Callithrix jacchus: one gene and its partner. The protein of the gene in region 1 binds, or shares a complex with, the protein of each later gene. Links are inferred from orthologs where the notes say so. Each region holds a gene or a part of one and is shown on either strand. Other genes may lie near its edges.

Region 1 (15,224 bases):
AGGGCAGGAGCAGGGTCTCCTTTAACAAAACAGAACACTGATACTGGGGCAGTATCAATGCACATCCAAGGTCAGCAGGAAGACAGGAGTGGGGGACTGGGCTGTGACAAGATCCTTGCCTTCCACACACCACCCAGCACTTCCCTGTCCCCACCACTCCCTGCTCCTTCCCCAGGTTCCCCTACCCTCACCCCAGGCCACCCCCAAGCCTGTCAGACCATTTCCATACCCCTCCACACAAGCCCTGGGGAGAGGTGGGAGGTGAAGGGGAGAGGTGGGAGGTGAAGGATAGAGCTGGCTCAGCAGGTAGCCCCTCTTCCTCCCGGGGGCCAGGCCGTGGCATCCTTCCAGGTGCTCAATACCAGCTCCTCCTGGTGGAGACAGTACAGCCATCCCCACAGAGCTTGGGACAGGCCTGGGGTCCTCAGTGGGGCGGGTCTCCACCTGCATCGGACACTCTGCAGGGCTCGCCTGCTGCTCTCCCGGCCCCTCCTCAGTGCTCCCTGCTCCCCACAGTCTATGTGACGCTGACCTGTGCCTTCCGCTATGGCCGAGAGGACCTGGATGTCCTGGGCCTGACCTTTCGCAAGGACCTGTTTGTGGCCAATGTGCAGTCCTTTCCACCGGCCCCCGAGGACAAGAAGCCCCTGACACGGCTGCAGGAGCGCCTCATCAAGAAGCTGGGCGAGCACGCCTACCCTTTCACCTTTGAGGTCAGGGACTGCCATCCCTGGGGCCCCATTCCAGAAGCACCACCTCTAGGAAGCCCTCTGGGGTGGGCACAGGGGGCGGTGAGGGTCAGCTGCTCCCTGCCACCCGGTTTCCCAGTGGACGCTGGGACCTGGGGCACTGACACCTGTGTTACCTGGTAAGTGTCTGTTCTTCAGCCCCTGCTGGGGGTGTCACCCATACCTCTGGGCTACTCTTCAGAGCCTTCTAAGGCCAGGTTATTGGTGGGAGAAAGGGTGGGCAAAGGGTCTTAGAGAAAGAAGGAGCCCTTTCTGGCCCCTGAGTCACTGCAAGGTGCCTCCCACTCAGATCAGCTCCCCACTTGCCTGGCTGCCTAGCTCGCAATCGAGGGATGGCAAGCAGGTGATCTTTCTGCCCCACTGCCTTTCAAATCAGAGACTTTGAGACATTGGATTTCAAAATCTCATGTTTCTGGCCAGGCACAGTGGCTCATGCCTGTAATCCCATCACTTTGGGAGCCCAAGGCGGGCAGATCATGAGGTAAGGAGATTAAGACCATCCTGGCCAACGTGATGAAACCTCTACTAAAAATACAAAAATTAGCTGGGTGTGATGGCGTATGCCTGTAATCCCACTACTCGGGAGGCTGAGGCACAAGAATCTCTTGAACCCAGGAGGTGGAGATTGCAGTGAGCTGAGATCATGCCACTGCACTCCCGCCTGGCAACAGAGTGAGACTCTGTCTCAAAAAAAAAAAAAAAATCTCATGTTTCTTAGATTCTCTGATTCTGAGATTCAGTGCAGTCCCTTCCTTAGCTCCCTATGGCTGCTGGCTGCTGAAACAAATTGCCACAACTCTGGTGGCAATTAAAATAACACGGATGTATACGCTTACAGCTCTGGATGTCAGAAGTCCCAAAATAGGTCTCAGTGGTCTACCATGGAGGCATGGCAGGGCTGGCTCCTCCGGAGGCCCTCGGAATGTGTCCACCTTTTCCAGCTTCGCTTTCCTCGGCTCACAGCACCTTCCTCCATGGTCAAAGCTAGCGGTGACTGGTTGAGTCTTGCACATCCCGTCACTCTGGCGTGGACACTTCTGCCTCCTGCTTCCACTTCTAAGGACCCTCCTGATTCTATCGGGCCCACCAGAACCATCCAGGATACTATCCCCATCTCAAGGCCTTAATTGGATCTGCAAAGTCACTTTTGTCATTAAGGTCCCAGGTTTTGGGGGGTTAGGGTGTGGACATCTTTGGGGGACCATTATTCTGCCTACCACAGTAGACATCATAGAAAGATCTATTTAAACTATTGCTGTGAGGACTGGGCTGGGCCAAACCCTTCAGATAAAGAAAGCTCAGACACTTGGGCATGGCTTGGCATGGTCTGACGGGGTAGACATGGCCTGTTCCGAGGGTGCCCAGGTCTGATAGGTGTATGGGAGTGTCTGGGGTGCAAGACATGAGAAAAAGGTGGATGTGACAGGTGCTCATTCTGTATCCCTCTCGACAGATCCCTCCAAACCTTCCATGCTCTGTGACATTGCAGCCGGGCCCCGAAGACACGGGGAAGGTAGGTCACCCCAAGGGGACCATCTCTCTGGCTCCAGGACTCTCATGTCCCCAGGTCCCTGGTTTTCTCCCTGGGAGGTGCTGGACACACAGTACCCCTCTTCCTGTTGAAGAGTTTTTGTGTCTAGGCTAGGCTGGTCCCACCTTGGACAACCAGTCTCTCTTCAGACAGGGCAGCAGGTATGGGGTCAGCCTCACTCTCCCATCCAGTGGTGGGTCCGGAGTCCCTCCTGAGTCACCCTTGCTGGTCGTGGTGTGGGCTGCAACAGGACCAAAGTGTTCTGAGGACCTATACCTGGCCTCACGTAACCCCCTGGCAACCTTGATTCAAGGCGCGATCATCTCCATTTCTCAGATGAGGAAACTGAGGCTTGGAGAAACGTGACACCACTAGTGTCCCAGGCTCTGGACCTTTGAGCCCAGCTTCCCCATCTGCAAAGTGGAGATCACAGCATGTGCCTCCTTGTCTTGTTAGAGGGATACTGGAGCAAGCCACCCAAGGCCAGGTCTGCACACAGAAGTGGGTGCACCCAGTCTGCTCAGGTGCCTGTTGCTATTTCTGAGCAGCAGCCTGGATAAGGATAGCCACGCAGACTAAGGCAGGAGCCCGAAGAGCAGAGCTGCGCTAGGGTGGTTTGGGATGCCCCATGTCAGATGCAGGAGGCAGTACAGCTCTGGGGCTGAGCACAAGGGCATTTCACAGCTTCTTCCGGACCGAGGAGGGCTGGGCTGTGGGAGCTTGGTGTTCCCGTCCAGTGTCCTCGTTTGTAAAATGAGAGGTGGGCTGGCCGCGCACTGAGGATGCTGCTTCTCCAAGGCCCTGCAGTCAGTGAACCCTTCCCCACAGGCTTGCGGTGTGGACTATGAAGTCAAAGCCTTCTGTGCAGAGAATCTGGAGGAGAAGATCCACAAGCGGTGAGTAGGATGCCCGGGTGTGGGCTGCCTGCTTGGTGAGGAGGGAGACAGGATGGGCAAAGTCCAAGAGGAGATAAGTAACAATACCTGGAAGTGTGTGAGGAGGGGTGCACATTCCAGCCTTGGGAACTCTGAGAAGGGCACTCTGGAAGCCGGGAGGTCACGGAGGGCTTCCTGGGGGCGGTGGCTTCAACTGCCTGGGTTCAGGCTGCAGCATCTTCTCCTTTGCACCACTGTGGCAGCTTCCGCTCTCAACTCCCTGCCCCTCATTTCATCCCCTCTAGACTGAATGTCTTTTTAATTTGTTTTGGAAAAACCCTAAACTCAGATTGTGTTAACCAGTGAGCAGGCTGTTTCCTGACCATCCCCATTTTCCAGTTTTCCTCCTGGGAGGTGTTCAGCAGGGGTGGAGTGTGTGTCAATGACAGCTTCTGAGAGAGGAGGAAAGGAGATAGTGAATCCACCCGGGGAGAGTGATGGAGAGGTCGGCCCACATCTGAGAGAGGGGAAGCGTTCTCTGGAGAGGCACAGCCCGGGCAGACTGAGAGCCCAGGCTGGCAGCCAGAAACAGCTGGCCCGGATGTCTCATTCCTGCCCCTCTTGGATCAGGCTGTGCTCTGCCTGCCTCCTGGAATGGCTGGCCTCAGGCCCCCCAGACGCTGATGGTCCTGCCTCCAGAGACACTGTTCCCAGAGAAGGCTGGGGAGGGCACAGCAACCTCTTTAGGGGGAAGGCTGAGTTTGCCACCTGGTGGCTGTAGGGTGTATTGCATGCATTTGCATCTGCAGCCCAGACTGCTGTGTGTGGGAGATGGGACTTTTCTCCCTTGCTTCCCTGTCTCCCTTTTCCTCTTAAGACCTGAGACCAGGGAAAAGGACGGGTGCTGTGAGATGTGGGAGGAGGCTTGGTAGGCACAAGAAAGAGGAGGTGACTTTGAGAGCCACCCTCTTACCCTACCACCAATGGGACATTTAAAATCCACACCAAGGAGTTACTAAGAATAATGATACAGAAGCTGTCATTTATCAAGGGCTGACTAGGTGCCAGACACCATTCACGGTGCTGGGTGTGTATGAACTGATTAAATCCTCACAGCAACTCTAAGAGGTAGGTCCTGGCTGGGCGCAGTGGCTCTCACTTTGAAAGGCTGAGGTGGGCAGATCACTTGTGGCCAGGAATTCAGACCAGCCTGGTCAACAGGGTAAAATCCCATTTCTACTGAAAATACAAAAATTAGGTGGGTGTGGTGGCACATGCCTGTAATCCCAGTTACTCGGAAGGCTGAGGCAGGAGAATCGCTTGAACCTGGGAGGCAGGGGTTGTAGTGCGCTGAGATCACGTCACTGCGCTCCAGTCTGGGCAACAGAGTGACACTCCATCTCAAAATAAATAAACAAATAAAAATTTAAAAAGGAAAAAAAGAGATAGTTCCTTCTATCGTCACCCTTACAGATGAGGGAATGGAGGCAGAGAGAGATTAATGCACCCAAGGCCATGGTAAGAAGAGAACTGGAAGTTTGACCTCGGCTCTCTGGTTCCAGGCAATAGAGACAGCTTATCTGAGCAATGGAGATGCCAGCATTTCCAGCATGCTTCAGAGATGGCCTCACCGAGTCCCTCTCCCTCACGAGATCCTCGTTTACTCGCTGAGCCCCTGTAACCTTCATGGAACCAGTTTCATCCCTGGGCCTTCTCCCCTCCCTGGGGTTGTCCCCTTCATTGGCTGGCGTCCCCCTGACTGAATCCACAGCTCCTCCCTGAACCCCAACACCTCCCCAAGCCCCATTTCTTCATGGGGCCCCGTTCCCTCTGCATAGTTCTGCATAGTAGACATCTGACAGGTGTTTATTGTATGGCAGGCACAGCGTAGGTGCGCAGAGTACTGCTGTGAACACTTCAGACACAACTTTCTGCCCTTAAAGAGCTTATACAAATAGTTTCCTACGTGACCAAAATAGATGACAGAGGGACACTGTGTAAGGTGACATAGGGAGGCAGGAAGTGAAAATGTCACCTGTTTGGTGGCATAGGGAAGCAGGAGGTGAAAATGCAGCTCCTGTTTCAGCATCCTGCTGGGTATCAGGACCCCTGTGCGGCCACAGGGCCGCTCTGGACAGAACAGGGGAGGATGGAATGGGGCCAGATGGTGACGGGACCCCTATGCTGACCTCTGCAGTTTGGCTGGATTCTAAGGCAATGGGGCGCCATGGCAGTCTCTTGAGCAGGAGAGTGATGTGAGGCTTGCTAGGAGAGGGGATGAAGGCAGTTGACCCTGGTCTTCTTTCACTCCACCCATCTCCATTAGGAATTCTGTGCGTCTGGTCATCCGGAAAGTTCAGTATGCCCCTGAGAGGCCTGGTCCCCAGCCCACAGCCGAGACCACCAGGCAGTTCCTAATGTCGGACAAGCCCTTACACCTAGAGGCCTCCCTGGATAAGGAGGTAGGAGACTTGGCAGGGGGTGGGGGCTGCTCCACCAGGGCCTGACCTCAGATCCCTGCTCTCTCCTGGCCTGCGGGGATGCCTCAGGCAAGAGCTTTTACCCCCAGCCTGAGGACCACAGGGCTCAAGGAATCTGAGACCTCCCCTGGGGGATCTGGAGAAGCCTCTTGGGCCTAAAGGAGTGGCAGAGGGGGCATGAACCTGAAGGATGTGATGGACTTCGGAAGGGAGCAGAGACCCTCCCGAAGGTCCTGGACATCCTCCCCCACCTCCACCAGCTGCCTGCCTCAGTCCGAGAGCTGAAGGCCAGCGAGCTCTGCAGAGGGGACAGGGGAGGTCACGGCCTCCCCTCCAACCCTGAGCATCAGGACAACGAGCCCTGCAGAAGGAAGGGCCTCCCCTCAAGCTCTGATTCAAGCCCAGCTGACTGACGCCTGCTGTGAGCTCAGGCTGGCCCTTCCATGAGGTGTGGGCACTCCCCCTTCTAGGGGCATGGCTGAAGGCACGTGCCTTGGGAAGATGCAAGTTAAGGCCTTTTGGGAGGGATTCAGAGCTGGCTCCCTCCGTGAGCTGGTCAGCCACTCCTCACCTTTCCCTGCTTCTTCCAGAGCCTTCCATGGACAGATTTTAGAGCTGGCAGGGTCTTGAGACATCACCCAGTCCAACCTCTTCATTGCACAGAGGGAGACCCTGAGGCTTAGATAACCTACCCCAGGTTGCACTGCTTTTCTCATGTCGTGATTACTGGTGGCCAAACCAGGACTGGAGCCCAGGACTGTCACCTTCCAATTCCATTATCTTTCAAGGGTCCCTCCAGGGAACTGAAGGGCTAGTGTACTTGGTTCCTTAGCAGCAATGGGAAGCGGCTGATGAACTTAAGGCAAATATCAGAATGCCCAAGGTCTGAGGAACCCAGGAAGATCATGGGGGGCTTTTCTCCCTCCTCTTTCCCTAGAACCTTGCTATCCTCCCAGCCATTCCTTCTTATGCCCCCCAGATCTATTACCATGGAGAACCCATCAGCGTCAACGTCCATGTCACCAACAACACCAACAAGATGGTGAAGAAGATCAAGATCTCAGGTACCCCAGGCAGATGATCAGCGTAGGGGACAGGAGAGGCAATCTTCCCATGGGCTGGGGGTGGCTGAAGGGTCTGCCTTGTCAACAGCCTTGTATAATAAATACAAGGGCCTGCCCTGAGCCACAGGGCCCCACTTTTGAGGCGAGTCAGGGAGGCTGTTTATTGGCCAGGTAATGAGTTCATTCTTTAAGCCACCTCTTCTCTTCAGTTTCTTGGGTTCTGGGCAAAGCTGTACTTGAGGAGAAGGCTTTGGTTATGGAAGGAAATTTGTGTGTTTTGGGGCTACCCTTTGGATGGAAGACAGAGGTAGTCTCAGGCAGAAGTCCCTACTGGTGGCCTGTGGCCATTGCCTGGGGCTGAATATCCCCAACCCCAGGAAGCCTGAGAGACTCCATGGGAGCTGCATTCCAGACTCGCTCAACCTCATTCCTCTCCCTCCCCAGTGCGCCAGTATGCAGACATCTGCCTTTTCAACACAGCTCAGTACAAGTGCCCTGTTGCCATGGAAGAGGCTGAGTAAGTGAGCACACATCTGGCCTTGGGCATGTGGGATTGGGCGGGAAAAAGCTCTAGGTATCCTGTTACAGGTCCAGGTGTCTCTTCTTCACCTGGCAGAGGGCTGGGCCTCAGAATTCCTTGCCACTCAGAGTAGATGATCCCAAAGAGCCTTTTAGAAACCATCTACCTGATTTAGCTACAAGAAAATGCAAGGTACAATCAAGGAAGAGACCCACTAAAACTAGAATGACAAAACAAGAGCTAATGAATGTAAGGGGATTGGGATTGGGGAAAGAAAATAATTACATTGTACAAGAAACCTAGGTTGAAGGGAAATACTTTGTTCTGAGCTTCCTGGTAGCCAGGGCAAAGTAGGTAAGGCACTAGGTGCACAGTCTAATAAAGGGTAATCCAGCTCACTGGGTAAAGGGGTTGTGTGTGGGAGTGTAGAGACTAATTATACACAGACATTAAAAAAAAAAATCTAGGTTTGAGGAGAACTACTATGGTTGAGTGTGGACTGAATTTTGTCCCAAGCTTGTTGGCAGTTAAGGCAAGAGGAGAGATCTCAAGTGAAACATCTTTACTTACCTAAAGGAAATAAATGCTCCCATTTAAAGACACACACAGTCTTTTTCCTGGCCCTACAAGTAATTTCTTGGGGCAATTACACCTGATGTAATTTTACTGTGTATGTGTATTTGTTTATATATAATTCCAATCAGTATTTTTTGCAACTTCAAACATTTAAAAAATTACTAGATGGCCTTGGAGACAGTTTTTAATGTCCTGTAGGTGAACATGCTATGTTGAGATCAAGCATTCTCTGGTTACTGGATATTTTTGATATTCACTGTTGTTCTTTTTTATTTTTATTTATTTACTTATTTATATTTTGAGACAGAGTCTCACTCTGTCACCAGGTGCCAGGCTGGAGTGCAGTGGTGGGACCTTGGCTCACTGCAACCTCCGCCTCCTGGGTTCAAGCAATTCTCCTGCCTCAGCCTCCTGAGTAGCTGGGACTACTGGCGCACGCCACCATGCCCAGCTAATTTCTTTTGTATCTTTAGTAGAAACGGGGTTTCACCATGTTGACCAGGATGGTCTCAATCTCTTGACCTCGTGATCTGCCCACCTCGGCCTCCCGGAGTGCTGGGATTACAGGTGTGAGCTACCACGCCCAGCCTCTTGTTCTTTTTTTAAAAAAATCAGAGCCATGAAGCATAGATTCCAGATGGTAAAGTGAAGTGATCTAGAACAGAGTAACATATAATCCCTGAAGGGTAGAACATCCCACCCCCGCAGATGGTGCCAGGGTCTGCGTAACAGATCCCAGCAGGGGTGGCTGGGTAGGCCTTTGCACTCATAGGCTTGTTTACTTCTCAGGAAGCCCATGGGGCTGGGGTTGCTGCTGCCCCAGTGTGTTGAGGAGGAAGTGGCTAGAGAGATGTGACTTGTAAGCTAGCAAGCAGCGAAGCTGGGGCTGGTGCACAGGTTGTCTGACTCCACGGCTTGCTCGCTATCTGCTGCATGTCAGCTCTCTCTTTGGAAAGGATGGGGGATAGAGCAAAAGCAAGCAAAAACTGGACAATCAAAACACACTATACATGATGGATGCGATAAAGCAAGTGGAGTTTTAATTGTTGAGCCTAGATGGTGGGTATGTGGGTGCCCAAATAGTTTCATTTATGGTTTATGTGTCGCTATAATTTTTTTTTAAATTTGTTTACAGACAGGGCCAGGTGCAATGGCTCACACCTGTAATCCCAGCACTTTGGGAGGCTGAGGTGGGCAGATTACTTGAGGTCAAGAGTTTGAGACCATCCTGGTCAAGATGGTAAAACCCCATCTCTACTAAAAATAAAAAAAATAGCTGGGCGTTGTGGTGCGCGCCTGTAATCCCAGCTACTTGGGAGGCTGAGGTAGGAGAATCTCTTGAACCCAGGAAGTAGAGGTTGCAGTGAGCCAAGATCGCACCACTGTACTTCAGCCTGGATCACAGAGCAAGACTGCCTCAAAAAATAAAATAAAATTTGTTTAGAGATAGAGTTTTGCTCTGTTGCCCAGGCTGGAGTACAGTGGTGCGATCTTGGCTCACTACAGCCAGCCTCGAACTCTTGGGCTCAAGTGATCCTTCTGCCTCAGCCTCTCAAGTAGGTGTGCACCACCATACCAGGCTAATGTTTAACATGTTTTGTAGAGATGGAGACTTGCTCTGTTGCCCGGGCTGGTCTCAAACTTCTGGCCTCAAGTGATCCTCCTGTCAGCCTCTCAAATTGCTGGGATTATAGGTGTGAGCAACTGTGCCTGCTGTGGCTGTCATTTTTTAACTAAATGTGCTTTTTAGCACTGTGCTGCTTGACTATGATAATCTCTTAGAATATCCCAGATCCAGTCCTGTTTGTGCATAGAATGTGGATGTGCCTTTTTTGAGTCGCAGTGGTCTCCGGAGCTGGGCTGGCCCAAGTGGTCCCTGTATCTGTGGGGGATAGAAGTCAGGAGAGGGAGGCTTGGAGCAGGGCCAGACTAGACATTCTGCTGGGCTGGAGAGCAGGGCTGGGGTTGGCTCTGGGGAGGGCCAACTCCACAGCTGCTTCCTTTCTTCCCAGCGACACTGTGGCACCCAGCTCAACGTTCTGCAAGGTCTACACACTGACCCCCTTCCTGGCCAACAACCGTGAGAAGCGGGGCCTTGCCCTGGATGGGAAGCTCAAGCATGAAGACACGAACTTGGCCTCTAGCACCCTGTGAGGACCTGCCCGCCTAGCCCTGGGCTCCTGGTGCACGTTGCTTTTCACCCTCCTTGGTCCCTCCAGTTCAAAGACAAGGCTCAGGCTACCCTCTCCCCAGCCTTGTCCAGGGCCTGTCCTCAGGTGCTTGACTTATCAGGGAAGCTACCTCCTTACTCCCATCCCTATCCAGGGGTGACCGAGGGACTAAGATGGACCAGTAGGCCAGCTCACTCAGGCAGTACTGGGCTCTGTTACCAAGTCCGGGGAAGGGCAACCTGGGAAGGCTTCCTGCAAGAGGTGGCAGCTTCTGACCCAATGCCTTCAGTCAGATGGGGTATCCCTGAGGAAAGACCAGGGTGGTGAGCTGAGTTAGACCCAACATGGGGTGCCCCTCCAAGTCAGTGGCCCCAGGGCCTCTGGTCACTCCTGCTGCTTGGTCATCACAGATGCCTCGAGGCTGCTCCACTCCAGCAGTGCTCTGTGTGTGGGGCTGCCATCTTTCCCTCTTGCAAGTGTGGTCCTTCGTCGGGGCTTTGGCCTGTGTCTAGAGCAGCCTCCACTCCCAGCATGAACTCAGCTCTCTTCCCAGCAACTACACATCCTCCCACTTACCTGAAGCTTTTGGCCCCATCTCCACCCTGGCTCGAACTTTACCCATCTTCAAGACCCAGCTGAGGCACCACCTCCACGGAGAAATCCTTCTCTGACAGTCCCCACCCCACCCCAGCAGCCTCGCTCTCTGTGAACTTCCCATCTGGCCCTTTCTGCTCATAGGTTGCTGAGAGAAGCAGAGTCCATCTGAGGGGAGGAGGAGCCTGCCCCTCACCGTGGGGATGCTGGCCTGGGCAGGGAGAGGGGCTCAACGTGGCCACACAGCGAGCGAACCTCACAGCCAGACGTGCAACTGGGGCTCTGGCTCCCCGCTCCCTAATGGCATAGCTTGCCTTCCTCACCTCCACTGGGCTCCACACTGGGCTCTGTTGGACATGGTGGCTGAGAGGCCAGCCAGATAGGGGATGGATAGCCAGTGCCCCCCAGCACACCCACCCCTGCAGGGTCTCGCGCATCCCTCGAGGCCACTGAACCGGCTCCCCTGTGTCACTTTTCAGGTTGAGGGAAGGCGCCAACCGTGAGATCCTGGGGATCATTGTTTCCTACAAAGTGAAAGTGAAGCTGGTGGTGTCTCGGGGCGGGTGAGTGCTCTAGCCCAGCCCAAGATCCCTAGTGCAGAGGGGAGCATCCCAGATGCCCACAGTCCCCTGCCCCATTCTGCCTATTTGCTGTCCTTTCAGCTGCATCCACCTTGGAGCAGGACCTCCTGTCCCTTCGCTTCCTCCCTTGTGGTTCCTCTTTCTCCTCCCCTGTCCACTTTCCCTCTCTTCCATCCTTGGCCCTCAGCCCCTCCCTCAGCCCCCACCCATCTCTTTCTCGCTCTCCTTCTCTTCTATCCTGGGTCTGGGCTTGCGCTGAGGATTGGCCATGCCCAGGCGACAGAGTCCTCAGAGTCTATGTTGTGGGGTCCCCCAGAGTGCCATATTCCTCATCACACCTTGGGACATAGCACCCACCCCCATGCATGCCCAAGCTGATTTTCTGAGGAAGCAGCTAAAAGGGCTCAGAACCCACAGCTGGATTGGGGATTTGCTAGCTGGTCAGCTTTCCCATTTTACAGATGGTGAAACAGAGGCCCAAACAGTGCCCCAAACATTGCCTGAAGTCTCCTCCCCTAACTCAGGTCATGGGCTGGGGTCACAGCAGTGGACCAGACTTTCCTGCCATGGAGCGTAATTTGGTGGAAGCTTGGGGAGGAAAAAAAAAAGCAACTACCTTTTCTGTGTGTGCGTAACTTAGTTCATACATTTCTATGAAAAGATTGAAAAGCTGAATCCCATTAGACATTGGGTCTCCTTGGTTATTAGAAGAATGCCTCTTGGCAGGTGGCACTGTGTAATCCTGACCTTATACAATAGGACACCTGAAGATTACAAATCCCAAATGCTGTGTCTGGTGACCTTTCAGGACCCACAGTCTCTCAAACATTCTTGGCAACCCCGGAGTCCTTCCCTCTGCCTTTAGATAGCCCGGCCTCCCTTGGGGTAGTTAGCACCAGGGTTAATTTTCACACTGCCTTCACAGATGAGGATCCTGGGGCTCAGGGGGTTTTTGAGCTGGGTCTAGATCCCAGTCACCCAGGGCAGCGCTAATGCCGTTTCTACATATCCCTGAATGAGCAGTCAGGGCTGTGCCGGGTGGGGCGGGGGCGGGTGGAGTGTGTCCCGTGGGTCTTCTCTATCTGGGGGCAGCAGAAGTGGTGAATGAATGTGCTTTTTGTTTTCTTCCTCTCTGAACTCTCTCCTGACCACTTCTCCTGCCTCCTCTGACCCACCCAGCCTGTTGGGAGATCTTGCATCCAGGTAAATTCCTCCCTTCCACCTGATTCACCCACCTTCCTGGAGGGCCTGGAGCCGATTGGCTTGACTGACCAGAATCACAGGGCACTGGGTTGGAAGGAATCTTGGTGGTCATTTCAGATTGCCAGGTTCAGGTGTGAGCTGGGAGACACTGTTTCTCTTTAACAAACCTCACTTTGCTCTTCCACCCGAGTGACAGGGACCTTTACAGAGAGCAAAGCCCGATTGCATTGATACAGGGAGTGGCCCCCAAGAGGGCTGTTTGAATTACCGATCAATTGAATTATAGGAGCTTTTGGAGAAATGCAGACTTCATGGCTTTCAAACTTCCGAACTAATGAGAATGAGCTGCTGCTGGCTGAGAGTTGCTAAGGAGAGGTCCTCTTTTGTAAACACAGCTTCCTTGCAGCCAGCTTGATGCACTTAGATTCCAAACATGTCTGTACCCTACACACAGCAGTTTGGCCTTCTGTCACAAGATGGCAGTGTGGCTCATCCTAAGAAATCTTAGCCTGATTTGACAGGTGAAATTCGTTTAATTCAATTCAGTGTAATATCATTCAGCAAGGATTTCCTCAACCCAGGCTGGTACCTAGGCTGGTGCTGAGTGCCAAAGTCCCAGAGAGGAATCAGATGTGCCCCCTGCTCTTATCGTTCCTGGCCTGGTAGAAGATTAAGGTCCAGATTCTTTCCCTAATGTTGGCAAACTTGCTCTTCCACCAGCTCCCCAAAGCAAAATGAAAAAAAAGGAAGAAAAAAAGTCCAAATAGTTCTGACAGCCTTATAAAACCCCAGGTTCCCACTGGGGGAAGTAATGATTATGGCAGGCACAAGCTTCACATTTTCATTTTATATTTTTATTCTTTTTGAGACAAGGTCTAATGCTATTGCCCAGGCTGGAGTGCAGTGATACAGACTTGGTTCACTGTGACCTCCTCTGCCTCCTGGGTGGAAGCCATCCCTCCACCTCAGCCTCCTGAGTAGCTGGGACTACAGGTGTGCACTACCATGCCCAGCTAATTTTTGTATTTTTAGTAGAGACGGGGGGTGGGGAGTGGCATCTCACCATGTTGCCCAGGCTGGTCTCTAACTCCTGAGCTCAAGGGATCTGCCCGCTTTGGCCTCCCAAAGTGCTGGGATTATGGGCATGAGCCACTGTGCCCCGCCAAGCTTTACAGTTTAACTAGCATTTAGCTGCCTCACCTCTAGGAAGTTCCAGTGGCTCTAGAAGACAGGTATTGTTATCCCGACTTCGAAGCTGAGCTCAGTGAGACTCAAAGCCAGAAATTGCTGCGCCAGCGAGTGGCAAGGCTGGCAGAGCAGACCCTTCTAGTTGCCTAGCTTGTGCCTCTGACCACTCCGTTCCCTTTCCCTTTCTCCTTCCCAGCTGGGCTCTGGGCAACAAGATCAGTGAGATGTGGCCTGTGCCTGGAGGCACTCACAATTGGGGGGTCTCCTAGGGTGATGCCACGCCAAGCTGAGAGGAGCCTTCGGGGTTGCTTTTGTTAGTCTCAATCCTGCTACTGTCACACAGTGGCCAAGGGTGTGGTTATGGAGCCAGAATCTGCTATCACTTACCGTTAATAGCTGCATAGCCTTGGGCAAGATATTTTAATCTCCTCATGCTTCAATGCCCCAGTCTGTATACTGGGGATAATAATAGGGTTGTTTCGAGATTAAGTGAGTTACTCTATGGAAGGGGTTTACAGTAATCCTTGGCATAGTCAGCACCATGTGAATACCTGCTCTTATTCTGTCCGTCAGGGCCAGACACAGAGAAAGCCCCATCAGTAGCACTGGCTGGTGGCTGGGTCTTCCCGACCACTTTCCCCCGCATCCCCACAGTGTGGACAGCCTTGGCCCTGGGGCCATCCTAAACCTGACTAAACTGACCTCAACAGTGCTTCACCCAGATTGCAGGGGGACTAGGGTCGCCTGAGCACTTTCACAAGAGCGCCCTGGATGTGTTGGGAGATGGGATGGTGTCAGGGCAGGAGGGGTTCCAACCTGGAAGCTGGGAAGGGCAATGTCAGGGGAGGAGAGGTGGCAGTGGTGATCTGAGGTGGGCAGAGTTTCAGGGCACCTCTGGAGCCCCGCAGTGACCATGGTGCATGCTGCCCTGGGCAATCCTTGCCCACCCCTTGGCCTCCTCTCAGCCTGTGGGAACCCAGGGAGCCGTCTCAGGAAAGGGGAGCCTTCCATTTCTTTTTGGAGCCAGAGGAAGTCTCCTGGTCCAGCTCCCAGGCAGACCGAGGCTCTGAGTGGAAAACTGGGGCTGGAGGGCATCTTTGGGATCTACCTCCTCTGACAGCAAAACCCTCCCCAGTCTTTGGACTGGCAGCGCATCGAATCCCACAGCCTTCGAGTCTGCTCAAGGCTCACTGGGTCTGGGTCTCTGTTTCAGCGACGTGGCTGTGGAACTGCCCTTCACCCTAATGCACCCCAAGCCCAAAGAGGAACCTCCTCATCGGGAAGGTGAGCAGAATCTGTGGGTCTCTGGGGTAGGGGTTCTCCAGCAGCTACCATGTGACCCTGTAACCCACCCCTTGCCCCGGGTTTGCTCTCAGCCCAGGCACCCTTTTCTCAGGTCCCCAGATCTTTCGTGGGGTCCAGAACTAAATTTGCTTCTGACCCTACCAGGAGACAGTGAGGCACAGCTCCTGTTCCCCATGGGAGAGGGAGGCCAGGAGAGGAGGAGGGAGCTCATTGGCCATGCTTTGAGCCTCTATCTTGCACTCAGGCATGGGCTGGGTCCCGTTTGGAAGTAGGGGAAAGGGCTGCATGGATAAGATGACTGCTGGACACCATTGTCATGTTTTTCTTCTTCTTCTTTTTTTTTTTGAAACAGAGTCTCTCTCTGTTGCCCAGGCTGGAGTGCAGTGG
Region 2 (15,978 bases), on another chromosome or scaffold:
GAGCAAGGCAAGGATGTCTGCTCTCACCACTCCTATTCACCACCGTACTGTAAGTCATAGCCGGGCCGGGAGCGGTGGCTCACGCCTGTAATCCCAGCACTTTGGGAGGCCGAGGTGGGTGGATCACGAGGTCAAGAGATCGAGACCATCCTGGTCGGCAATGGTGAAACCCCGTCTCTGCTAAAAATGCAGAAAATTGGCTGGGCACTGTGGCGCGTGCCTGTAATCCCAGCTACTCGGGAGGCTGAGGCAGGAGAATTGCCTGAACCTGGGAGGCGGAGGTTGCGGTGAGCCGAGATCACGCCATTGCTCTCCAGCCTGGGTAAACAAGAGCGAAACTCCGTCTCAAAAAAAAAAAAAAAAAAGTTATAGCCAGAGCAGTGAGGCAAGACTGAGAGCCAGCCAGGATGCAGAGTGAGCAGGGCTTCCGTGTGGGTGAGGGCAAGGGACGTGCAGAACAGTGTGTCTCTCTGGTTTGCACATGCTTTCCACCGGCCAGCACACGCTTTCTCTATGACCCAGCAATCTGAAACCTATGTATTTACTCACGAGAAACGAAAATGTATATTCACACAACATCATCGTGTGTGAATATGTGTAGCTGCTTTATTCATCAGCACCCAAACCTCAAGCAACCCAGGTGTCCTTGGTGGGCAAACGCATCAACAAAATGTCCATCTGCACAACGGACCCGACTCTGCAGTAATGAGGAACGCCCGTCAATGCAGGCAACAGCCCCGAGGATGGAATGAAGGAAGGCTGGCTCCAGAGGCCACTTCCCAGCTGGCTCCACTCACGACATCCCAGAAAAGGGAAGGAGAGTGGACAGCTGGTGGAGGGGCCGGCATGGGGGCGGGTGGGCCACAGGGTGACGGGCTGGGGCTGAGGGGATGAGGCTGGTCTCTGTCTTCTGAAGTGGGGATACGTGATGGCATTTATCGAAGCTCACAGGTGCGAGCAAGCACAGAGGGGAATCACACTGCATGTCAATGAGAAAATGAAGTAAGAACCAAGAAAACCCATCTCTGGTGTCTGGCCACTCTTCACCACCTTCTCCACCCCCACCCTGGTCCAGGTCACCTTGCTCACTGCTGGGCATCTGGCCGAAGCTTCCCAACCATCCCCCTGACCCCTAAATGCGTTCTCAGCAAAGCAGTCAGAACTGCTCTTTAACATGTAAGTCGTATGGCAGCTCTGCCCAGACTCTCCCACGGCCACTCCCTTTTTCTAGAATAAAAGCCATGGTGAGGGCTATGAGGCCCTCGTGGTCTGCCGTGGCTTCTGGCATGGCCCTCTGCTTGCGCTCTGTCACCCCGGCGGCCAGGCCAGTGCTGCTCCTCCAGCACACCCAGCATGTGCCTGTCCCAGGGCCTTTGCACCTGCTGTTCCCACACCTGGCATCTTCCCCGATGCCCGCAGGAGCACTCCTGCAGGGTCCACATGAGACCTTCCTGACCTGCCTGCCTTCAGGAACCAGCTCTGGGTGTGAGGACGCAGCCCCGCAGGTACAGGTGGCTTTGGGGGGAGGGGTCAGCACACCAGGCTCTCCAACCTGTGCCAGGTCCACATGGCACTCCAGACCCAGGGATCTCTCCTTGGCCTCCTGGGGTGGGTGGTGGTACCCCACTGGTGATGCTTTTGGGAAGAGCAGTGGGCACCGAGGTGGGGTAGGTGCCTCGGCCTTCTCTGGGCCTCAGTGTCTTCATTGATGCTGCAGAGCCCAGGGTCCCTCTCCAGAGCTGTGCATTCCCCTTGGGATGCCACATGGATGGGACCAGCCCCTTGGCCACTGCACCTTCACTGGTGGTGACAAGATCAAATGCCAGGGCGTGGCTGGGGAACAGTGAGGGTCTCGGGGGCAGGCAGACTCCGCAGCTGTGACCTAAGTGCCAGGAACCAGGATCTCCATTCCCCTCTGTGCCTCCCTTGCAGAGCTGGCATTGCGTGGGCAGCAGCCTGGTCAGTGCGTGAGGGGGTGCAGAGTGGGGAACTCATGCTCCCCACGATTCCTCTGCTTCTTTTGGGCCTTAAAGCCCTTTGTGGCCGTCCGGGGGAGGAAGGCCTGGAGCACACACAGGCCTGCGGGAGGGAGGACCCGGCCGCCCGAAACAGCCTTGAGTGACAGCAGCTCGGCCACTCTCTGCTGCTGTTGTTTCTCACAGACTCAGGGAGGCAGGGCTAACATTCACTGAGATCCACCCTCAATCTACGGCTCCATGAGCTTTGAGCCTCAACCAAGATACAGAACATTTCCGTCACCCCAGAGTTCCCAGCGCCCCTGTGGCCACCCACCCCTCCTCCAACCCTCCCCCGGCCCAACGGCTCATCCGTTTCCAGAACTTCAAGTGCTTGGACCACCCAGCACCTTGGAGTCTGGGGTCTTTCACATAAAGCGCCTTCATGAACCGCGTCAAGGAGACCCGGGGAGGACAGATTCCACCAGTCTGAGTCGTCACCTCCCTGAGCCGGAACGCAGAAGAGAGGTTACCAGGTGCTGGGGGCCAGGGTTTAATGGGGACAGAGTTTCGGTTTGGGGAGAGAGAAGGTTCTGGAGGCAGATAGTGGCGACGTTTGCACAGCAATGTGAACGTGCTCCTCACCGCTGAACTGTGCCATCACCAATGGTAAGACGGCACATTTTATGTGATGTGTGTTTCACCACGAGTTAAAAATAAAGAAAAGCTTTTTCTTCTCTTAATATAAACTGCTAGAGAACCATGTGGGCATTTATTTCTGTGACAGAAAAACGAAGGCAGCCCCGGGCTTGTGCACAGGCTGGACGCCCTCTCGGGCCCTGCTCAGCCTAGGCCCTCTGTGCCCATCAGCAGATGTGACCAGATGGGAGCCCCGGTACCTCTGAGAACAGCCCTGGAGATCTGAGGGCTGCTGCCTGAGGCCTCACCTCGCCTGTGGGGTGGCAAGTACAGGTGGCCGCACCTGCTTGCTGCCCTCAGCACCTACAGAACTGCAGGCACAGCCCCGGGACCCCATTTGTCCCTGGAGTTGAATGTCCTCAGAATGCTGTCAGTCTGAGTACAGGACAGCACGGGAGAGCTGACCCTGGGTCCCAGTGCAGAATTGTGAACAGGTGAGCCTGAACTTCTCTGGAGCAAGTCACTCCCGAGGACTCCAAGCCCACTCAGAGCCGCTGTGGCCAGCTCTGAGCCCCTCACTCTCCCACCCTTGCCTGTCACACCCAAAAGCCTGAGTGTCATCCCATGGAGAGACCTCAGGGTCAGCCTAGGCCTCCCCAGCTGAGAGCCCCTCTAGGCCCTGTCTCTCTCCAGCCACGTGATGTGCACAGGTGGTCCGTCCTCGGCTTCATCTGGGAAAAGGGGTTACGGGGTACAGACGGGGACACATGTGGTCCGTCTGCACGTCCTCACCTGCCATCTCCCACCTGGCCCCAACGGGCAGGTCTGGTGTCTGGAACAAGCCCAAGGCCACCTCCCTGTCCCATCCTGGCCTCTTACTCCCGGAGGCCTCAGAGCCACAGTCTGAACATCTGATTTCAGACGCCAAATTCTTTATTCCAACATATAGCACCTTAACCTTTTGAAAACTTTTAATTACAACGTTTTTCAAACATATACCTAGAATGTCATCAACACCCACTTTCCTCACAGACTTCAGACCAATCTTGTCCCTCTGTGGCCATCCTAGGGCCCGTTCCCCCAGATCATGCTTCAGCAAATCTGAGACACTGCATCATTTCATCTGTAAACACTTCCGTATGTACCTCTAAGAGATCAGGACCGTTTTGAAAACCATACCCACAATAACTCTGGACAACAAGAATTTACTTCAACTCCCCAAACTCTTTAGCTGCTTTTTGGCATGAAGAATGACTGGCTTTGGTTCCAGGATTGTGTGACAGGTTGACTTGTCCAAGTCTTTGCTAAAAATCAAGGCTGCCTGGGAGGCCGAGATGGGTGGATCACCTGAGGTCAGGAGTTCAAGACCAGCCTGGCCAACATAAGAAAACTCTGTCTCTACTAAAAATACAAAAATTAGCCAGGCATGGCGGTGGGTGCCTGTAATCCCAGCTACTACAGAGGCTGAGGCAGGAGAATCTGTTGAACCTGGGAGGCGGAGGTTGCAGTGAGCTGAGATCACACCATCACATGCCAGCCTGGGTGACAGAGCAAGACTCCATCTCAAAAAAAATAAATAACTAAAAATTCAAGGCCACCATCTCCGGTTCCCTCACTGTTTGTAGGACAGAATGAACCGTTTGTCCGGAGGTTTAGCTGGCTGCATCCTAACGGTGCCTTTGTCCAGTTCCTCTGTCTCTGGTGTGTCCTGTGTGTGGCAGCAGCATCAGGGGCTCCATCAGATTCAATGACTTTGATCCAAGGATGTCATGGGGTGTGTGCACACCAGGACTCACCTCACGCCTAACTCTCTCCCCTTCATGACAGTAGTGGCTGTCAAGAATTGGTGGCTGCATCCATTAATGTATCAGCCTTGCACCCGATGGGTGGTATCCTAATAAATATCCCACTCCTTCTTCACGTATTGACTGGGATGTTTCTGTGCTGACACAGTGCCCGTCCTCTACTCTTGGGTTACTCTAAACTACCTTTTGAATAGAAAAGGCAGGAAAAATGCTCCCTTCTTTTTTTTTGAGACGGAGTTTCGCTCTTGTTACCCAGACTGGAGTGCAATGGCGCGATCTCAGCTCACTGCAACCTCCGCCTCCTGGGTTCAGGCAATTCTCCTGCCTCAGCCTCCTGAGTAGCTGGGATTACAGGCACGTGCCACCATGCCCAGCTAATTTTTTTTTTTGTATTTTTAGTAGAGACAGGGTTTCACCATGTTGACCATGATGGTCTCGATCTCTTGACCTCATGATCCACCCGCCTCAGCCTCCCAAAGTGCTGGGATTACAGGCGTGAGCCACCGCGCCCAGCCTCCCTTCTTTTCTTCTAAAGGGTCCTGGCCTTTTCAGACTAGAGGAAGTGCGTGGCTCTTGGCCCTGCACCAACAGCACTCGATGCCCTGGGCTGGAGATGAGGACACTGTGGCTGCCACAGCCAGAGCGGGAGCTGCCCGGGGCTGCATGGTGTAGGTCCTCCTTCCCGTCCCTAGGGGAGGTCAGAGTTGGGCAGGCTGTTCCCTGGTGTAAACGCCTCTGTCCCTAACGACCCCTTCAAGAACTCCTTCTTCTGCAACTTTCTTTTTTTTTAATTGAGACTGAGTTTTTCTCTTGTTGTCCAGGCTGGAGTGTGGTGGTGCGATCTTGGCTCACTGCAACCTCTGTGAGTTCAAGTGACTCTCCTGCCTCAGCCTCCCGAGTAGCTGGGATTACAGGCGTCCTTCACCACACCAAACCAATTTTTGTATTTTTAGTAAATATGAGGTTTCGCCATGTTTGCCAGGCTGGTCTCGAACTCCTGACCTCAGGTGATCTATCCGCCTCGGCCTCCCCAAGTGCTGGGATTACAGGCGTGAGCCACCTCGCCCGTCCTTTCCTGCAACTTTCTAACTTGAAAAAGTTCCTGCTGCAGAACAATTGTAGGAGGAAGACCCCTCAACTGCCCCGCGCAGATCTGCAGCCCAACGCCCGTAGCCCCGGGAGCAGTCTCCTCACTTGATTCATTACCTGCTTGCTCTCCTTTCACTTGGCCTTTTTTTCTGAACGATCTGAGAATCAGTTGCAGACTCCACACTCTGAACACCCCTGTATCTTTTCTAAGAACAAGGGTTCTGCCTTCAGAGGTTGCTGGGTGCAGCCTGGGGCACGGGACGGAGCCCTGAAACAATCCATGGCCAGAGTTCACTGGACTCCGTCTCCTTCCCTGCCTCAGTGCTGCTCCTTTCCCAGGGTTCTGCCTGTCCTGAACGGCCAGGGTGTTGGCCCAGTTGCCCTGCAATCTGTCTGCTCCTGGACGCCTCCGTAGCAGGGGCTGTGGGTCACCAGTTTCTCCTGCAGGAATGGAGGCCCCCTCCGTCCCCTGAGGGAGGGGGTGCCCTCTGACTCTAAGCCAGTGAGGAACACTCCTGTTTGTACTAAGTAAGTATGAAGGAGGCTTTCTGAGGAAACAAAGGAGCAGACAGGGAGGCCGAGCCCGCAGGAACAGGGCTCCCTTGGTGCAGAAAATGGCAGTGATGAAAGCATGATGAAAGGCATCCTTATGGCCACTCAGGAGGGTCTAATGGACTCGTGCCTTCGAGGCTGGGGGGGGGTTGCTTTTGTGTGTGGCCATGGTGGGCGGCGGGTCTCTAAAACCATTTCAAAGGCTGCAGCCATCTCATCGGATTTGAATCTGACACCGGAACTCACAGGACCCTGCCACTGTGGGTCCTGGGCACACACACGTTCAGTACACACTCCCTGGACAGATGAGTGTGGGACTCTGCTGGTCCACAACCTGTGCCATCAGCCCTAAGCCCTGTCACACAAAGCCCGTGCCATTAGGACCCTTCATAGCTGAGGTCAAAGCTGGAGGTTGGGCCCAGGCCATGGGGGACCATGGAGGAGCAAGGTCCATCTGCCTGTGTGGGGTCACGTGTGCAGGTGGGTTCGAGAAGGGGTCGGGCATCCTGGAGGTCCCCGAGTCCCCAGCACCTCCTCCCAGTCGCCCTGCTACACCGGGGCCAGGTCTGGGGCCTTTGGGGGGGTCCTGGGCACCAGGTCCTGCCTGCTGGCCTGAGAGCCCAGCTCCACTATCTACTCCTGTCCCTGGCTACACACTCGGAAAGTGTCCTGCCAACTTCAGGGAGGATCATCCTGTTGCTCCAGAATGTTCTCATGAAGCCGCCTCATTTCCAAACACAATTTCTGTTTGCAGGTGCCCAGGCCAAAACTCCTCGGAGACACCGGGGCAGGAAAGGACCCCTGTTTTGGAAAGAGGGCTGTTTGCTTGGCCACTGCCCCAGCACTTCCAAATTCGTCGCTGAGAGGGAGACACTTCCCTGAGGGTATCCAGGCCTCTTCAGCCAGATATCACCGTTTGAAAATAGCAGCTGTTCACGCAGATCTGCCAGCGGCCCAGAAGCCCACGCGGGGACATAAACCCCCTCATCCGGAAAAACCTCTTGTAAAATGGCGGATGGCAGGGCGGGGTGGAGAAGGCCAGGCCTCTCTGACGAGGAATGTTCTTTTTGAGCCACATAGCAGCTGGCATCAGGGGCCTGGTAAGCCCCTGGCCGTCAGCCTCAGATGGAGGAGCGCCCTTGTAATCAGCCACTCCCAGGCACGCGGCTGAGCCCGTTAAAGAAAAATGGAAACTATGTTCTCCAAGGGTGTGGAGGATGCCAGGAGCACTCAGCAATGCTCGGCCAGCACCGTGTCTGCAGGGCTGGGGTCTGTCCCAGGGTTGATGCGGCCTCTTAGAGTTGATGAGTGACTGTGGCTGGACGTAGCGTGACTTAGCCCAATCTGCCTCGCAGCCTCTGAGCAATAAGGCTGGGCAGGTGGCGCTTTGGGAGGTGAAGGGATGTCCTGTAGGTGCCCAGTCCCAAGTGACCGGCTGGCAGAGAGGCCGGGCGCAGGGGAGGACGCTTTCTGGGGGCGGAGCTGAGCTGTGCTTACACCCCTGTGCTTTGCGGCTGTTTTTGAGGATTGCAGGAGGCCTGTGAGCTCCTGGCCTTTTGCCAGGGGAGAGGGCAGAGTGGTTGTCTGAGCAGGGGCACCTGCTGGGTGAGCAGTGACAGCGCTGACCCCTCCACTGCCCACTGTCTGAAGGGCTGAGTGGCTGCTGCTCCTGGGGCCCTTCCATGCACACTGGGGAGAGGCTACCCCAAAGACAGGAGCTTGGTTGGGGAGAGCAGACGAAGGCTCAAGGGGAGCAAGAGGTCATTTCTCACTGTTCGCCTCGAGGGCCGTGCCTGTTGCTGCCTCTGGTGGGGGAGGGCCTCTCACTGCAGACTCTTGCTCCCACCAGTGCCTGTGGGAGAGGCCTCCCCAATGGGACACCTATAGCCACGAGTTCTACATGCAGCTGGGGGAACTAGGAACTTAGTTCCAACCCCCCAACCCCCAGCCCACCAGGGTGGTGGCCAGTGGGGTGTCAGTTAGGGCCCAGTGAGTAATAGGCAGGTGATGCCCTGCCTGGCACTGCTTCCTCCCCCCACTGGGCAAACTGGCATATGTGAGATGCCCAGGCAGCTACAGAAAGTCAGCTGGGAGGTTGCCGATGCTGGTGTCGGGGGAGCTGGGGGAAATGCCAGCCACCCAAGCTGGGCAGAGGTGGGCAACTCTGCCTGGATCCTTCATCCTGTGGCTTCCTAGCCCACCCAGAATGGAGGAAACTCCACACCTCCAAGGCTGCTCAAGTCCAAGATGTCATTCAAAGTGCCAACTGGCCCTGACTTCCTCCCTGGACATCAGCCTCCTGCTAAGGGCTTTGGTTTGACCAGCCCTCTCCTCCAGTGCTGGAACCCCCCATGCCATGCACCTCTCAGCCAAACTGATTCCCAAGGGGGCTTCCCACCTGCATTCCCACAGCGCTTTGCTCTGATCCTTGGAGGGCCGTTGGCCACTCGGCTCCAGTTTTATGCACCTTACCACATGCCACCGCTACATGGAGATCCTCATAACCTTCCCAGCAGAAATACCATCCCCACCATCCAGCACTAATGGCACCTGTGAGCGCTTCTACATGTCAGGGGCCATGCAAACACTTCCCACACGTTGTCTCTTGAATGCTCAACCTTCTGAAGTCAATGCCATGACTACCCCATCATGCAGACTGGAAAGCTGAGGCTAAACTAGGAACTGGCCCAAGGTGGCATCAGGTTCCGCTGACTCCCATGTTTGGGCCAGGGGAGGCAGCTGGGAGGCACTGGCAGAGCCAGTCTGGGGCCACTCTACAGAGGAGAGGAACATCACCTGTTGGGGGCACAAAGCCTTTTGAGAAGCTGATGAAAGGGGCCTCTTCCTTCCATGACACTGGTGCCAGCACACATGAGTTTCCATTAGATCTTAAGGAATTCAGAGACATCCGAGGCCGGCCATGGACTCCAGGGACAGGCACGGGCTCCATCCCCTCAACAGGAGGGGAGAAGACAGGAGCTGAGCCTAGCAACTCTGGAGCTGCCCCAAGTTGCCCCAACCACCTTCCCAGCCTCGCAGAAGGAGACTGTCTCTGTGACCTCTCCCATGCCCTGCACCCAGAAGGCACGCCACTGGCACTGCGTTTGGGGAAAAGGGAGGGCTCTGGCGGGTGGTTACCCATGCTCACCTGGATGACAGTCTTGACCGTGGCCGTGTGGATGGTGGGCGTGCACACCAGGCCCCCAGGGTGCTGGCCATCGGCGCTGCGGTTCTGCTGGCCCATGGTGAACAGCATGGGCACCGCCAGCAGGCCCGAGGCCAGCCAGATGGCGCTGATGAACTTCTTGGTGCGGCTTCGGGACATCAGGGTCTTGGCCTTGAAGGGGTGGCAGATGGCCAGGTAGCGCTCCACGCTCAGGCTGGCCACGTTGAGGGCGGTGGCGTAGGTGCAGGCGTCGCGCACGAAGTAGTAGCCGCGGCAGCCAGCGTCACCGAAGGCCCAGGGGTGGTGCACCCAGATGAAGTTGTACAGCTCCACGGGCATCGCCAGCAGCAGCGTGAGCAGGTCCGACAGCGCCAGGCTGCCCAGGTGGTAGTGCACGGTGCTCTGCAGGCTCTGCAGCGACTTCTTCCGCGCCAGTGTGAATGCCGTCACTGCGTTGCCCACCGTGCCCACCGCGAAGAGCGCCAGGTACACGGCGGTTACCAGCGCCTTGGAGTAGATGTCGGTGTTCACGTCCAGATGGCTGCTGGGCGCCTCCAGGACACGCTCCGACGCGTTGCCCGAGCCGTTGCCGAAGCCCGGGGCCCGGAGTGCCGCCTCCAGTCCCGCCTGCGCCCGCTGGAAGGGGTCGGCGGCCGGTGCGCCCGGGACCCCTGGCGTGGAGCTGTTGAGGTGCATCGGGAGGCGGGGTCCGAGGCTCTGTCCCGCGCCTCCGGGGCTGGAAGTCCGGGCGGGAGTGGGCGCGCCTCCGGCGGGGACCCAGGAGAGGGAGCCCAGGGGAGGGCTCGTGGCGAAGACAGCGGGCGCGCCGTCCAGCCGGGAAGCGCAGACCCAGACGCGCAGCCTCGGGCTCCGCGTTCCTCCGGACTCCCGGCTCCAGACCTTGAGGTTCCTCAGGCTGTCTCCAGGCTCGGTGCTGGTCGCCGGCTCCGCGCTGTCTCGGATCTCCAAACCCCGCGGATCCCCAGGCCCCCGGGAGGCAGCGTCCGGGCCGATTTGGGCTGCACAGGGCGGGCTGCTGGCGCCGGGAGGAGCGCACGCAAGGCTGCCCCGGCGCGCTCCCTCCGCCGCTCCCAATCTCCTCCCTCGCGCTCTCCGCGCCCCCGGACCCCGCACACCTCCCGCCGCGTCCCCGCCCTCCCGGCTGTGCACGTCTCCATGGAGCCCGAGGCCGCGCGCCGCGCCCAACAATGGGGGGCGGAGGAGGAGGGAGGCAGCCTCCGCAGCCATCCCCATCCCGCCCGGGTGCATCCTGGAGAGTCACCCCCCCCCCACTGGCACTCCCCTGGGACAGTGCGAGCTGGGTGAGCGCTCCAGGGAATCAGAATTCCGGGCGGGTGCGGCCGGTACCGTGCACCTGACCCTTCTCGCCACCCTCCTCCCTGTTCTCCGCAATTTCTCGCTCCCCACAGGAAGGGAACTGTGCACCTCCCCCTACCCGGGCTCGCTCAGTGCCAGTGAGGGTGTATCGGAGGGCAGGGAAAGAGGAAGCTCCCGCTGATAGGGCTGGGCGGCTGCACAGCTGACTGGGCCACCCCCCACTTCTGGGTGTCCACAGGGTGCCAGAAGCTGGGTGCCAGGAGGACTCTAGGACCACTGGAGATTACATTTCTTGCAATTCCTTTTAAAATCTGGCGTCATGGGCACGCATGGTCTGTGAATGCATTATCTCTGGGACCTGCCCAGTGGGAATGGTGGGGGCTCCGGGCATAGGTATCACCTGGGGCAGCATGGCCTGAGGCAGTACTGAGGACACCTGCAGGGGCTGAGCAGCTGGGTCCTGCAGAGGGCAGGAGCCACGTCTGGTTTCATCAAAGTCTGGGGAGGGGTGAATGGGGGAAGGCAGAACGCAGGCACCCAGAACAGCACCCTCCCCACTCAGGGCCCACACCTGGCACCCTGGGCTGGTCTCATGACGCTATGGGGTGTGAGTGGGCACCCTCTGGGCCCCTTATTACTGCCTGGATTTGTCATCAAAGTCATCCTGAGAGCCCGAGCCCCAGCAGGATTTGGGAGGGGCAGTCCCAGCACCGGACACCCTTCCTACCACTGAGTGTCCTCACAGGGTGGCCTCTGTCCCCAGTTGGGAGCCAGGTGACGGTGAGATTCTTGTCCTTTACCTGCTTCCCATCACCTGGCAGCACTGGCATAGGTGGTCAGGCACAAGCTTGCCCCCCACGTCTGGGTTGCCCAGGGGCCCCCAGGGCACCAACTGTCACTTCTCTAGGCCCTCCCCGCCCCCTCCCCTGCTCCCTCCTCCCAGAACCCCGGGGAGAGGTTGGATAGAGCTGCTGCTCCCTGTGTGCAGGGGCTGGAGGGGCTTCTTGGGTGCAGCCCAGGAACCAGCCTGGCCTTCGTGGACTTCGCTGGCTGCAACTGCTATGCTGGGAGCAGGAGACCTGGCCAGGCTGGTGTGGCGGATGCAGGATGTTGAGGGAAGCAGGAGGCTGAGAAACCCCCTCCCAGACCCGCGCAGCTGGGAGAATTCGAGGCTCCTGAACTGATGGCTGGCAGCGGGACTCTGTTCTTACCCCGATTTGGGCTGGTCTGTTCAACCAAAGCTGATACTCTTCTCAGGGAGCTGCAGCTCACAAAAATCTGAGGTTAGAAATCCTGGCATCAAAGGAAACGCCACTGGTCCCTTTGCTGGAAGCCAGGACAGTAGGCTCAGAAGCCAGCAGATGGGGTTTGAACGCTAGCCCTGCTACTTCAGATTTGGATGAGTGTCCTTAGCGGCTCTGTGCCTGAACTGAGTTGTCTGTAAAATGGGAATAGCAGCTGAATGAAGGGCAGGGCTGTTCCTGATGGGTCTCCATGGGGAATGAACGAGGTTGAATGGGTTGTCAGGTGTGAGGTGAGGTGATCCATCACTGTAGGCTAGCATAGGCTGGATTTGTCCTCTGGAAGGCAATTCACCGGTTGCGTACAGAGGGGACCTTAGTGTCCACGCCACACTAGGGAGTCCAGGGGCTGGACCGTGTCAGGTCCAGGCACTCACCACTGTCTTCATAACCCTGGGGACTGACCATGGGTTGGGCCATCAGGTGCCTCTGTTGAGACCCCCACAAAGAGGAAGGCCACAGTAATGGGCACTGGGGTCTGTCGCTCTGCCAGCCAGAGCAGGATGCAGCAGAATCGTGCCCTCCCTCTGCCAAAGCTCATTGTTTGGTTTTCAATCCCCTGACCTTTTGACTAAGCCGCCCTTATTTTCAAAGATTTATCTTTGAGTTAGCCTGGGAGCTTAAAAAATCATAAAAGGCAACTTAGTGCAAATATTGTGATGGAGCATTTGCTTAAAAGCACATAGGAAAATGTCACTTGAAAGGCCTTGCTCTAAACAAGGTGTATAGTGGGCCCCTGGTGAGGGTCCCCGGCGGCCACACTGCGCGCTCGGCCATTCTGAGCTCTCCTGTGCACGCGCGAGCCGAATGGCTCAGCAGCTGGAAGCTTTTAACCTCACGTTGTTTGCCTCTTTCTCTCCCGATTTCTGCAGACAGGAGCCCTTCCTAAACAGCTGAGACTCTTTAAAGAAAGTGCTGGTGAGGCACCTGGTGTAGGGCTGATGGCCCCATAGGGTCGTGGGGTGAGCCTTATGCTGTGCTGAGGCAAAGGGCTAGGCTGGGCCCTGTTGTGCCCATTGGTGATGCAGTCACGCCTTTGGCCAGGCTGATGCCTTCACTGACAGGTGAAGCTGGGCATGGCCTTGTGGGGGGCAGGGCTGCAGGGGCAAGTGTCTCCTGCAAGTTGGAGAGCCTTGGGGATATGCTCCCCCGATCCCAACACTCCCAATGCTGCCTGCTGGAGGGGAGCCAGCTGGTCCCGTGAGCAGCGAGGGCCAAGACCTGCTGACACCACGGTTTAGATTCTAGGGTGCAGTGGGAGTGCTGACGAGGGGCAGCCAGCATGCAGGGGACAATTCTGGCTTTCTGTGATTCTCCGAGTGGTATGAGCAAGGCCATGTCCTCATTACCAAGCAAGTAATGACATTGTGCCTGGGGTGACAATCACGTCCAAAGATTCACCACATGAACAGTCCCTGGGAGCTGCTCCTAAGCGGGGGGGGGGGGGGGGGGGGGGAGGGGGGGGGTGTCTCTGCTTGTTTTGTTAACCAGCTTACCCTGAGTCCCTCCAACGCTGCCTGGTAGGTAGTTGGCGCTCAGTGGGTTGCTGTTGCACTCGTGGAGAAGATGTGAGGGTGAACTGAGCGAGGCCACACCAGCAGGCTTCCCTTCTCTCAGGCCCCCAACCACTGTTGCTAGCAGGAAGCCTTCTTGCTATATTGAAAAAAATTAAGTGAGTTTACAGTAGCACCTCTCTCAGTATCTATTGCTGTGTAACAAAATGCCCCACTGTTTTCAGCAGTGGCTGAAAACCACAAGCATTTATTATTTCTTTTTCTTTTTTTTTTGAGATGGAGTTTCGCTCTTGTTACCCAGGCTGGAGTGCAATGGTGCGATCTCGGCTCACCGCAACCTCCGCCTCCTGGGTTCAGGCAATTCTGCCTCAGCCTTCTCAGTAGCTGGGATTACAGGCACGCACCACCATGCCCAGCTAATTTTTTGTATTTTTAGTAGAGACGGGGTTTCACCATGTTGACCAGGATGGTCTCGATCTCTTGACCTCGTGATCCACCCGCCTTGGCCTCCCAAAGTGCTGGGATTACAGACTTGAGCCACTGCGCCCAGCCCTATTATTTCATCAGTAGCCGATTTCCTATGGGGATGAAGGCGGGTGGGGAATTAGGGGCACAGAAGACACATAACATACATAATCGGTAAAGTTTGGCTGTAGATTTTCCCACCCACAGCATGGAAATTGCACATGTTCCAGGACGCATGGTGTTCCAAGGAGGATCTTTAAGAATCGAGTGACAGGTGCCCATATATTCACGTAGAGAACTGTTAGCAGGCCAGCGAGGAGGGCGGAGCCATTTCCAGCCTCGAGCTGGCTGCACCCCTGCCATCTCTGGGGCCATTGGCAGATTCTGGCGGTTGCCCTACAGGCGGATCAAGCCCCAGTCATCGGCATCCTTGTGCCCCACATCCCCAGGTCGCCCCTTGGACCTCGGCCAGCTTTCTGGAAACATGAACTGTGTTCTGAGAACAGAAGACAGAGCAGGTGCGCTGCCCATGAGCACAGCAGCCGCTGCAGGGGAGAGTTCCCCGGAAGGCCAGGGATGCCAAGGGCAGGTCGGGGTGACAGGCTGGAGAGGAGGTGGTTTCGAATCCCAGCTTCACCAGGCCTGGACCCCCAGTTCCCTGTATGTGAAATGCACAACAGGGCCCCTTGGTCAGCAGGCTGCAGTGAGCATCTCATGGTGTGCACACACTTCATTCCGCAGAGGCCAGGGCTCAGCCTGGTGGCCGCAGGGAGCTGGAGAGGCTGTGTGGGAGGAGGATGGCCCGGAGTGCCGCCCCACACTCCGCCTTTGCCCGGGTGGGGACACGTTCCGGACGCTGTGGTAGCTGTCTGGTATGCTTGGCTGAGGATGGAGAGTGATCGGCCACCAGAGTTATGTGAGGTCTCCGTCAGTGTCACAGACACTCAGCGATCCTGTCCCGCCTCAGGCAAGCCGGGGTGGCCATTCCACCATCCCCCAGGTCACCTGAGAAAGATGGCACTGGCAGGCTGGGAGGCTTGGGGTAGGACAAACAACTCACTCTAGTTTTCCTCAGACTTTCAAGGTTTTAAGACAAAGTCCAGAGACTGGAAGCTGGAGCCCTCTCAGTCTCAAGCAGCTGGGGCTGAGGGTCCCCTGGCTGGGTGCTGTGGGAGGGGCTGAGGGTCCCCTGGCCGTGTGCTGTGGGAGGGGCTGAGGGTGGCCCTGGCTGTGGCTGAGGGATGGGCTGAGGTGGCACTGGCTGGGTGCTGTGGGAGAGGCTGAGGTGGCCCTGGCCATGGCTGTAGGAGGGGCTGAGGTGGCCCTGGCTGTGGCTGTGGGAGGGGCTGAGGGTGGCCTGGCAGTGGCTGTGGGAGGGGCTGAGGTGGCCCTGGCAGTGGCTGTGGGAGGGGCTGCGGTGGCCCTGGCCGTGGCTGTGGGAGCTTGCTCTTGTAGCTCCCCTCCCTTCCCGTGCTCTCTCCTGCTCTGTTGATCTCCCAGCCCAGGTCTCCCCCTCTGGGACCAGGTCTCAGCACTCCTGCCAAATCCCAAAACATCCAGGGCTCCTTCACCTCCCATGGCTAAGAAGCCAGGAATCTTCTAGTTCAAACCCACCATGGCTCGTGGAGAGCTGGCTGCTCTGTAACCGGCCCACTTTTTAATCATACATTTCCTCTGGGCTCTGATTCAGCAGGATGGTCTGACTCATGCAGTCGTCAAACATATATCAACAAGTGTGTCTGCCATCTGCCTGGAGGCCAGAGCCTCCTAGGGAGCCTTGGCTCAAGGGCTCACACCTAGTGGGCAGAAGCAGCCAAGTTCCCTTAATTCATGTGCCCCCAAGAGCCATCTGCCTTCCACCTGGCTCTGCAGGGATCTGGCACAGGCTGGGTACCCGGTGGATAGGGAGGTGTGTTGAGCAGATCGTGAGCACCTGGAGGGGACAGCTGGCACTTCACCTGCTCAGCCTCTCCCCTTGCCTGGGCACCAGCACCCCCAAGTCTTCCTGTGAGCTGCCTGCTGTCCACATAGTCTATGTGTGCACACGTGTGGACACCGGCGTGTGTGTTGGGCTCCCAGGCACAGGGGCTCAAAGGGTCCCGCTGGCAGGAGCAGGTCTTTCCGGTCTTGTGTCCTGTCCTTGCTCTGAGACCC

What was found.
Region 2: the proteins of ARRB1 (region 1) and NTSR1 are in contact, whole or in part, in a cryo-EM structure (PDB 6UP7), measured with the Homo sapiens proteins. The link is inferred for Callithrix jacchus from reciprocal best matches to the Homo sapiens genes ARRB1 and NTSR1. Residues at the interface, in NP_004032.2 of Homo sapiens: Tyr63, Arg65, Asp67, Leu68, Val70, Leu71, Gly72, Leu73, Thr74, Phe75, Arg76, Lys77, Asn245, Thr246, Ala247, Gln248, Tyr249, Lys250, Lys284, Arg285, Gly286; in NP_002522.2 of Homo sapiens: Ser93, Leu94, Gln95, Ser96, Leu97, Gln98, Thr100, Val101, Arg166, Ile170, Pro173, Lys177, Phe286, Ser287, Met288, Ala289, Ile290, Ala297, Leu298, Gly301, Ser368, Asn370.

What each region holds. Positions count from the first base shown.
Region 1 is NC_133511.1:65,672,105-65,687,328, forward strand, and holds part of ARRB1 (beta-arrestin-1), read left to right. Parts: intron 1-516; coding exon 517-713; intron 714-2,202; coding exon 2,203-2,262; intron 2,263-3,108; coding exon 3,109-3,176; intron 3,177-5,481; coding exon 5,482-5,617; intron 5,618-6,614; coding exon 6,615-6,699; intron 6,700-7,143; coding exon 7,144-7,216; intron 7,217-9,807; coding exon 9,808-9,945; intron 9,946-11,039; coding exon 11,040-11,123; intron 11,124-12,320; coding exon 12,321-12,344; intron 12,345-14,745; coding exon 14,746-14,816; intron 14,817-15,224. UniProt on the Homo sapiens protein: Functions in regulating agonist-mediated G-protein coupled receptor (GPCR) signaling by mediating both receptor desensitization and resensitization processes.
Region 2 is NC_133506.1:58,246,135-58,262,112, reverse strand, and holds the start of NTSR1 (neurotensin receptor type 1), read right to left. Parts: upstream 10,307-15,978; 5' UTR 9,903-10,306; coding exon 9,189-9,902; intron 1-9,188. UniProt on the Homo sapiens protein: G-protein coupled receptor for the tridecapeptide neurotensin (NTS). Signaling is effected via G proteins that activate a phosphatidylinositol-calcium second messenger system.